Rattus norvegicus: one gene and its partner. Each later gene encodes a partner of the first gene's protein in a complex. Links are inferred from orthologs where the notes say so. Each region holds a gene or a part of one and is shown on either strand. Other genes may lie near its edges. The genes, in order: Amhr2 and Amh.

Region 1 (4,597 bases):
TAGTCTATGACGCCTGTAAAACCAGGGGCCATGTGGGCTTCTCTCGGCATCTAGAAGTGCTTGCCACATAGTTTATAAATATTGGTTAAATGAACATATGAATGAGTTTACAAAGCTATTCCTGGATGTGTACTTAACAATGGCCCTCTTCTAGCCAGGCAGGAGTGGCACAAGCTTTTAATCCCAGTGCGTGGGAGGCAGAGGCAGGCAGATCTCTGTGTGTTCAAGGACAGCCTGGTCTACAGCACAAGTTCCAAGACAGACAGCCAAGGCTACACTGAGAAACTGTCTCAAGAATGGTGTGTGTGGGGGTTGGGGATTTAGCTCAAGTGGTAGAGCGCTTACCCAGGAAGCTCAAGGCCCTGGGTTCGGTCCCCAGCTCCGAAAAAAAAGAACCAAAAAAAAAAAAAAAAGAATGGTGTGTGTGTGTGTGTGTGTGTGTGTGTGTGTGTGTGTGTGTGTGTGTATTCAAAAGAAAGTATAAGGCAGGAGAGTAGGCATGAGTAAGGCCCAGTGGTCATGTAGCGCCCCATAGGAGTAGTGCATAATATAGACTACAGAGATTTCTTGATGCTCACCTTAGGGTACAGTTCCAGTACCAGCAAAGGCCCAGAGGGCAAGGGGCCAGGGCCTCCCTGGCCAGCAGTGATAAAGCGAACAATGTGGTTATGCTGTAGGCCTAGCAGCTGGTACACAGCTCGCTCAGCTCGGAACTGGGCCACAGCCCTTGGGGGGAAGGCCTTGATGGCTACCATCTCACCCTGGAGCCTCCCAGCCCAGACGACTGCATGACCTCCTTCCTGGATTACCTGGTAGAGACACTGCATTGAGTGTGGGCCTCAGAGCTAGCGCCAGGGCCAGCCTTCCTCCCCAGCAGAACCTCCAGGAGTGCCAAAAGAGCCCACCCTCCTTCCCTGGAGCACCTGGGAGAAGCGCAGCTCAGCCAACTCGGGCAGTTCCTCACTGCAGTCTCCTCCTGAGCCTGGCTCCGGCTCCGGGTCTGACCCACCTTGCACTCTACAGGCTTTTCGTTGTAACAGGGCTGAAGTAGAGAAGAGTCTTAGGGTAGGGTGCACAGGATGGAGACAGCCAGGGGAGCTATGTGGGAAGAGAGCATCTTGCAAGGAAATGTAAAAGAAAATCCCAGACCTGGGGGCTCAGCAGGGCCCAGAGGAGGCTTGGCCCTTTGGGCAAGTGTCATGCTATCACAAGGGAGGGGTGGGAGAGGTCGGTACCCAAGATGATGATACTCAGCAGCAGCACAAGGAACACTCCCAGCAGCAGCTGCGCCATCCAGATGGGCCCACCTGGACAGCAAGGGAAGATGGCACGGCACACGGGGGTGAGCACTGAACCTCTCCCCTCTTCAAAGAGATTACTTTCCAATCCACCCCCATGCTGGTCGCAAGCCCCCTTATCTCCCAGTCACCAGGGCAACCAACTTTCCAAGGCCAGGAGGAGGGAAAGTTTGGGCGGAGGTGGGGTGAGAACTGGCCCCGGTTCTCACCCTGACCTATGCTTCTGCTCCCCAGTGGGCTCTAGTAACCTGGGGAAGGCAATTACCTGGGGTAGCCTGAGGCTCCTGGGGGCCGGGAGCCCCTCGGTTTCCTGAAGGAGGCAGATGGCTGTAGTTGGCATTGCAGAAGTCGGTACCGCAGGAGCATGTGAAGAGTGTGGAGCTGGGGCTGGGGTGCGCTCGGGGGACGGGGTCACAGTGGAGGGACTCACAGCCGGGTTCATCACTGTCTAGGCATCCTGAAGGGGTGGGGTTAGGGGAAGGAGGGAAAGGAAAGAGAGTTCCATAAGGTTTGGGGACAGAGAACAAATCCGGGCTCTGTCAAAGGCATCTGACATGCCTTTTCCCCCCTCTACACATTCCACTTCTCCCCTTCCTTTTGGCTGCCTCCCTTAACCTAGACATGCCTCTCGCCCACCACGTGTTTTGTCATTCACCTTGCATCTCCACTTGTGCCCGGCCATGGGTCAGATTCCAGATCCCAAAGCAGCAATGGCTGTAGAGGCAGCGGATACCCTTCGGGGGGCCTGGTCCTGCATCTACCACTTCCCCCAGTGTTTTTGTGCTTCCCCGAACTCCAGGAGCCTCAAAGAACACACAGGTCCTCCTGTTTGGGGATACTGAAGCCCAAGGTGAAGGGAGTCAAGAAGGGAGTGAAGGCAAGGACAAATAGCAGTCAAGCATAGACAAAACATGATGTCTAGATCCCAGGTCAGTACAGCAGAGCCACAGGACACTGGCTCAGCAGAGGCCTGAGCTCTAAGCCCCACCATGGGAACCTGGGCTCTGCCTTTCCTCCCAGCCCCCTGGCCTCTTTCAAATGGGTGGCTGCTGCTTCAAGTACACCTTTCCCTTACTGAGTGGTGTAAAGACCCTGCCCCTCTCTGTAGACACTTACCTTGTGCAGCTGCAGGAAGCAGTGTCCAAAGCCCCAGTGTCCCCAGCATCCTACTAAAGGATGTCAGCAGGACAGCACACACCAGCACAGCTACCCTCGTCAACGCTTCCTACAAATACAGGGCACTGTGGGGCTTCCAAGCCCTCAATCCCCAACTCCGCCCCCCTCTGCCCTATCCCAGTCTCTGTGGGGGAGAAGGCTGCTGTGGGGGAGAGGTGGGTGTGAGGAAAACAGGGAGAAAAAGGGAGGAGCAGAGAACCAATCTCTCTCTTCAACTACCTCCTCTCTTCTCTGCAGAGCAGGGAGGAAGGGACCTTGGCTGTCCTGCTGAGAACCCTGTGATAATTAATTCTGAAATCTCTATCCCTTACTGACCTTGGAAGAAGGTGCTGGACCTTCCGTCTTTTTCAGAAAGATATTTTGGGCGCTCAGCTCTGCCCAAGATGGTTCCCATGGATTGAGAACTCATTTGTAGCATCCTGAACAGAGAAGACTTCACAAAGTTGATCTCATTTTTCAAACTCAAAAATCAGAAAGGATGTGAAATTTTTCAGAGAAGACCTGGTGAGATGCCACAGTGATCAAAAGCACTTGGAGCCCTCGTGGAAGAATCATGTTTGGTTTACCCACATGGCAGCTCACAACTGTTTGTAACTATGGTTCCAAAAGATTTGATGTCCTCTTCTGGCCTTTATGGGCACAGGCGTGCATGTGATGTCAAACACCCAAGCAAATGAAATAAAATAAGAACACATGCTCCTGGGCTGGAGAGATGGCTCAACAGTTAAGAGCACTGACTGCTCTTCCAGAGGTCCTGAGTTCAATTCCCAGCAACCACATGGTGGCTCACAACCATCTGTAATGAGATCTGATGTGTGTCTAAGACAGCTACAGTGTACTCATATACACTAAATAAATAAATAAATATTAAAAAAAAAAAGCAGAGTGAGATTTTATCCTGGGTATGTATGACTCCAAATCCCACACTCTGTTCTCTGTATTATACAATGTTGCCTTAAAACAAATGCAAACTTCAGAGGCTAAAGAAATGTTTCTCTCTCTGGAGAGATGGCTTAATGGTTAAGAGCACTGACCGCTCTTCCATAGGTCCTAAGTTCAATTCCCAGCAACCACCTGGTGGCTCACAACTATCTGTAAAGAGATCTGGTGTCATCTTCTGGTCTGCAGGCGTACAAGCAGGCAGAAAGCTGTATGATGTATACGTAATAAATAAATAAATAAATAAATATTTTAAAAAATGTTTCCATAGTGGGCATGGTGCAGGCCTTTAACCCCAGCACTTAGAGAGGCAGATGGATCTGAGTTCAAGGCCAGCCTGGTTAATGGCAAATTCTAGGACAGCCAGGGCTACATATACTATGTCTCAAAAACAAAAACAAACAAAAAAACAAAAACAAACAAACAAAAACACTTTCACTGTCTACAGAATTTCAACATTTGAATTGGGATTGCTGAGAAGTGTGTACCAGATAGCATGTTTGCCAACCGGCCAACAACTGGGAAGGGAACCTACAGTTCAAAATCTCACCACCAGAGGTCAGCAGGCATAGAAGAAATTTGTCCCTGGCAAGAGGACCTCCTCAGGTGACTAATATTTACATCACGCTTCCAAAACGTCCTAAACTGGAGTACTATAAAATATAAAGAAAGGCCACAGGGTGTGTAAGAGGGCAAGTCCACATGAACAAAGGGTCTGTGGCTTGTGTTGCCGTAGAGTGAGGCATGCAGACTCATTTTCCCCAGAGTTAGAAACCAGTCATGGGTTATCATGTCCACACCTGTGAGTAGCTGGCTTCAAAGAGCTGGTTAAAGAGGACTAGTTCCCCGTTCACGCTTCTGACCCCGTTCTGTTCTGGCTGCCTTTCTCAGGATGACCTAACTTAGATCACAGGTGACCGTACCAGCTCATAGTGGGCGGGGCCTTTCTCCTGGGGAGCACGTGTGAGAGGAGGCAATAGCTGTGAGACAGGGTGGCTTCCGCCGCCTTGTGGAAGTCTGCAGGGCTGTGCTGGAAAGGTGTGGGATGTTGTGCTTAGTTCCTGCTGTCCTCCTTCACCAGACCCCAGATCAGATAAGTGGGGATGTGGGTAATTGAAGATCAAATGGCTTCTTTTGTTTGGAATGTCTCTGGAGACCCTCTCCTCCAGAGTGGGAGCAAGGGG
Region 2 (4,450 bases), about 130 Mb from region 1:
GACCACGCACATGCATGTTAGGATGTGCAAGTGTGCTTTGCTGCTGAGCCACTTCTCCAGCTCCCTTGTTTTTGTTTTCTGAAAGAGTTTTGCTCTGTAGTTCAGGCTGACTCGAAGCATTTCTCCTGCCTCAATTTCCTTCTGGCCAGACACTTCTCTCCCCGCCACACATACAAATTAATTTAAAAAGGTCCAGGAGTTTAGTCCCAGCACTGGGGAGGCAGAGGCAAGCAGATCTCTGAGTTCGAGGCCAGCCTGGTCTACAGAGAGAGTCCCAGGACAGCCAGGGCTACACAGAAAAGCGGTAGGGACCGAAAGCTCTCCCATAGGGGAGTACCGGGTGTATGGGAAGGACTCACGCCTTGCATTCGCGAAGGGAGGTTGTCAGGAGTTCTCTCCGCCCACAGACACCCCAGCTGAGTGCTTGCTAATCTTTATTGGGGCGCTGACTGGGGACACGGGGGATGGGGTAGGGCGGACATCACCGGCAGCCGCATTCGGTAGCCACCATGTTGGGCACGTGGTGCGCGCTGATGTGCTCCTCCGACAGGCTGATGAGCAGCTTGCCGGTGTAGGCAGTGGGCACACAGCAGGGCAGGCGACCCAGGGCGGCCCCGCGTGCCTGCATTTTTAGCAGCAGCACCACGTGGTTCCCGTACCGTGGGTTACGGTCCGACTGTGGCCATGCACAGGCGCCTTGGCAGTTGTTGGCTTGGTAGGTCTCCGGGATGAGCACTGAGCGCTCTGCTCGAAGGTCCACGCTCAGCTCGCGCAGCGCGCACAGCCCATCTGTCCCTGTCCCCTTGCTGCGCCCCGCCCTCCCGCGCCCTTCCCGCCCTCGCCACTCTGCACGCAGGCCCTGCAGTGCCTTCAGCAGCAGCAGCGCTCGCAGCGGGTCCCCGGCGCTGCGGGAGTCGTTGGGGCACAGCGCCAGTAGGCGCGACAGCAATGGGGGGGCTGTGGGTGGCAGGCCTGGGAGGTCCCGCAGCTCCGAGGCCGCTGCCTGCAGCTCTACCGCTACCCTGCGTGCCAGGCCTGCTGCCCAGGGAGCAGATGTGGGGCTGTGCAGCCGCATAGGTTCCCCCACAGTGGCCGCAGCGGGTGACAGCAGCAGTAATAGGGGTTCCTCCCCATCGAGCAGACGTCCCAGCGCCACGGGGTCTGAAAGGTTGACCAGGCCCTGTGGGAAGCTGGCCAGCGCACCAGGGTCCAGGGCCAGACGAGTGTTCGAGGCCCGGGTCAGAGGTCCCCGCAGAGCACGAACCAAGCGAGTGAGGGTCTCTAGGAAGGGGTCAGCACTGTGTGGCAGGTCCTCAGGCTCCAGGGACAGCCTGGAATAGAACGAAGTGGGCCAGCTGTGAGCACAAGAGGCTGTGGTGGACCCTCTACCCATTCCCACCTCCCCATTTCCTCCTCCGTCCTTGCGCGCACCCAGGCTGCGGGAAAGGCACGGTGTCCAGCTGGCCATGTGCTGGCTGCGGTGTCGGCCCGGTGGGTGGCAGCAGCACTAGGGTGGGAGTCATCCGCGTGAAACAGCGGGAATCAGAGCCAAACAGAAAGGCCTGCAGCTGAGCGATGGTCAGGGTGGCACCTGTAGAGGGTGGGCGCGTGCTGGCTGAGGGCAAGGGCTAAGGGCAGCCTCCTTCCACACTGTCCCCTCCTCTCTGCCAGGACCTACCTTCTTTGCTTGGTTGAAGGGTTAGGGCGAGCCCCGAGCCGCTCCAGGCCCCCGCTGGAAAGTGCACAGTCAGCACCAAATAGCGGGTGTCCCGAGTAGGGCAGAGGCTCTGTGGATACAGGAACTCACTGGACTGGACTGGGGAAGTGGTCAGGCACCACCCCCTGCCAGACTGGGAATAGACTCCAAGGTGTACTCCTCACCCCAGGAATCCTCCCATCTGGCACAACTTCTCCCCCAACCCCCAACCAGAGGACCCACGCCAGTCTCTGGTACCTGTGTGCCCTGCAGTCCAGCTCCTGTGACTGTGACCTGGGGCCCAGGTCCAGGGTATAGCACTAACAGGGCTTGCTCCCAGCGGCTGGCTCCCCCAGGTGGAGGCTCTTGGAACTTCAGCAAGAGCTGAGGCTCCCATATCACTGCAAATATTGGTGACAGCTGAGTCTCTGAGGCCATTAGCATCTGTCCCTCAAGTCCCTCAGTCAGACTCTAACCGGGGATCTTCTGGGGTCATGTATGAAGACCTTGCTTATAGATAGGGACGTGACAGCTCTTCTGTCTGGGAAGGTGTGACCATGGGATGTTCTGCCATCTTGCAGACTACGGCTCCCACAAGGTGTGTCCCACAAGGTTCTGTTTGGCAACCAAGTTAGGGATTTCCCCCCACACTCCACAGGTCCCGCCCAAACCTTGGGAGGAGCCTCCGTTAGTCCCAAGGCAACAAGGGTGTTGAGATGTTGTCCTTCACGTACCTTCAGCCAGATGTAGGACTAGCAACTGCTGTTCCCCAGTCTCTCCGAGCCAGGCCCCGAGGCGCTGAAGGGCAGGCAGGGTAGTCTGGGAGTCAGTACTGCAGACTCCGAAGGTGGCTAGGTCTTGAGGTCCCCAGCGAGACTCTTGGACAGCCTCCAGGAAGGCATGCTCATAGCTGTGCAGGCCCCCCACCACCGTCAGGGAAGCCTTGCTTGTGTCCCCTTCCCCTCTCACCGCCACCAGGCACAAAGGCTCAGGGGGACTGCTGGGAGGCCAGACCCCATCTTCAAGGAAGATGAGGCCCCTGGTATTGGTCAGTTCTTCAACTGTGTCAGCCTGTAACACAGCCCCCATAGTCGCTAGCAGCAGCAGCAGCAGAGAGAGGTGTGGCCCCTGCATGGTGGCATGGCAGGGTCTGGGTGGTCCTGCTTATATGCATTCGAGCCAGAGTGCTTGGGAGGGACACCTCTATCAACCCCTGAGGTGACCTTGGGGACAGTGCCTGGCTGCGCTTTGCATGCCCATCAGGTGGGAGGCGGCTGTCTCAAAAGGCTTTCTGTCCTCAGAGCCAGCCCCCAACTGCAGAGGCCGAGGTGTCCTTGGGTCGTTCCCATCTGCCTGGGGAGCCCACCTGGACGATCCCCCAGGTCACCACGCCTTCCATAGAGACAAGCAGTACCCACCCAACCCCACTACCAAAAACACACACTGCAGACAGGGAGACATGGGGGAGGCTGTTTAATTGACTTAGGACAGGACAAAATAGAAAACCTCCCAAGGACTGGCCATGGGAAAAGAGCACACAGAGCACAGAGGCTGGTGGCGGGCTACTCAGTTGCCTGGGGGAGGCGGAGGCATGTTCCCAGGGCCATCCGAGGGAAGGGGGGGCCTTAGCATGGGGGGCATAGGAGTAGGGTGAACCCCTGGAGGCTGAGGATGGACCCCTGGGGCAGCAGGGTGGACTCCAGGAGGAGGCTGGGGGTGCACCCCTGGTGCCTGAGGGTGGATCCCAGGAGCTGGGGGGTGTACACCAGGGGCTTGAGGGTGGACTGCAGGAGCAGGTGGATGCACCCCTGGAGCCTGAGGATGAACTCCAGCTGATGGAGGAGGGTGGACCCCTGGAGCTGGGGGGTGGACCCCTGGAGCTGGGGGGTGGACCCCTGGAGCTGGGGGGTGGACCCCTGGAGCTGGGGGGTGCACCCCAGGGGCTGGTGGGTGCACTCCAGGGGCTGGAGGGTGCACTCCAGGGGCTGGAGGATGGACCCCAGGAGCTGGGGGATGGACCCCAGATGTTGGTGGATGAACCACTGGGGCTGGGGGGTGCACCCCAGGAGCTGGGGGATGGACCCCAGATGTTGGTGGGTGTACTACTGGGGCTGGGGGGTGTACCCCAGGAGCTGGTGGGGGCATCTGGGGAGGTCCAGGGGGCCCAGAGGGAGCAGGCCCAGTGGGGGGCATAGGAGGAAGAGGCAGGCCACCAGGTGGAGGTGGGGGCAAGGCATCAGGGAGTGGTGGGCGAGGAGGTAGTCCGTTCATGAGTGGGGGCGGGGGCCGCTTGACGCCTGGGGGTCCTGCTGGGAGGCTGGGAGGGGCTGGGGGCTTCTCCATCTTAAAGTGGAACTGAAGAAAAAACTGCAGAGGAGGGTGTGTCAGTGACTGGGCAGGGCGTGGGGCCGGGGGATACCCATGCAGGGCCTTCGGAGCCTCACCTGCTTGGTCTCTCGGTTCCAGTGGGTCCAAAACTTGCCCTCAGCCTTGTCGATCTCGCGGCTCGGCACCTAGGGAGGGAGGGAGGCAGAGGCTGCAGCACCCCAGGGAAGGGCTGGATCTAGCTGCCCTGCTCTGTCTCTCCTGCAGGGTCATTACCTTGAAGGCGATGGTCTCATAGGGCTCAGCAGCCATGAGGAGGTACTGCCAGCGGCGGTCCGGGGGCTCGATCCTCTGCTCATAGGCAGACATGAAGCGGTGGCGGGGCATGACACCCTCTGCAATCTCAGGGTAGTCAATCTGTGGAACATG

Evidence for each region.
Region 2: the proteins of Amhr2 (region 1) and Amh are in contact, whole or in part, in a crystal structure (PDB 7L0J), measured with the Homo sapiens proteins. The link is inferred for Rattus norvegicus from reciprocal best matches to the Homo sapiens genes AMHR2 and AMH. Residues at the interface, in NP_065434.1 of Homo sapiens: Gly31, Val32, Arg33, Gly34, Ser35, Thr36, Thr38, Leu39, Phe62, Ile64, Glu75, Met76, Arg80, Asp81, Ser82, Glu84, Pro85, Ser95, Arg97, Ala98, Pro100, Ser101, Leu106, Thr108; in NP_000470.3 of Homo sapiens: Leu471, Arg472, Glu474, Val477, Leu478, Ile479, Pro480, Glu481, Thr482, Tyr483, Gln484, Lys534, Leu535, Ile537, Leu539, Glu542, Arg543, Ile544, Ser545, Ala546.

The regions. Positions count from the first base shown.
Region 1 is NC_086025.1:135,456,239-135,460,835, reverse strand, and holds the start of Amhr2 (anti-Muellerian hormone type-2 receptor precursor), read right to left. Parts: upstream 2,915-4,597; 5' UTR 2,790-2,914; exon of another isoform or gene 2,524-2,789; 5' UTR 2,464-2,523; coding exon 2,415-2,463; intron 2,137-2,414; coding exon 1,954-2,136; intron 1,756-1,953; coding exon 1,564-1,755; intron 1,308-1,563; coding exon 1,236-1,307; intron 1,043-1,235; coding exon 924-1,042; intron 810-923; coding exon 579-809; intron 1-578. UniProt on the Homo sapiens protein: On ligand binding, forms a receptor complex consisting of two type II and two type I transmembrane serine/threonine kinases.
Region 2 is NC_086025.1:9,557,030-9,561,479, forward strand, and holds Amh (muellerian-inhibiting factor precursor), read right to left. Parts: upstream 2,839-4,450; 5' UTR 2,831-2,838; coding exon 2,431-2,830; intron 2,098-2,430; coding exon 1,955-2,097; intron 1,788-1,954; coding exon 1,679-1,787; intron 1,592-1,678; coding exon 1,432-1,591; intron 1,332-1,431; coding exon 482-1,331; 3' UTR 422-481; downstream 1-421. Other genes in the region: Sf3a2 (splicing factor 3A subunit 2), read right to left, coding at 3,263-4,063, 4,141-4,209, 4,298-4,438. UniProt on the Homo sapiens protein: Plays an important role in several reproductive functions. Induces Muellerian duct regression during male fetal sexual differentiation. Also plays a role in Leydig cell differentiation and function.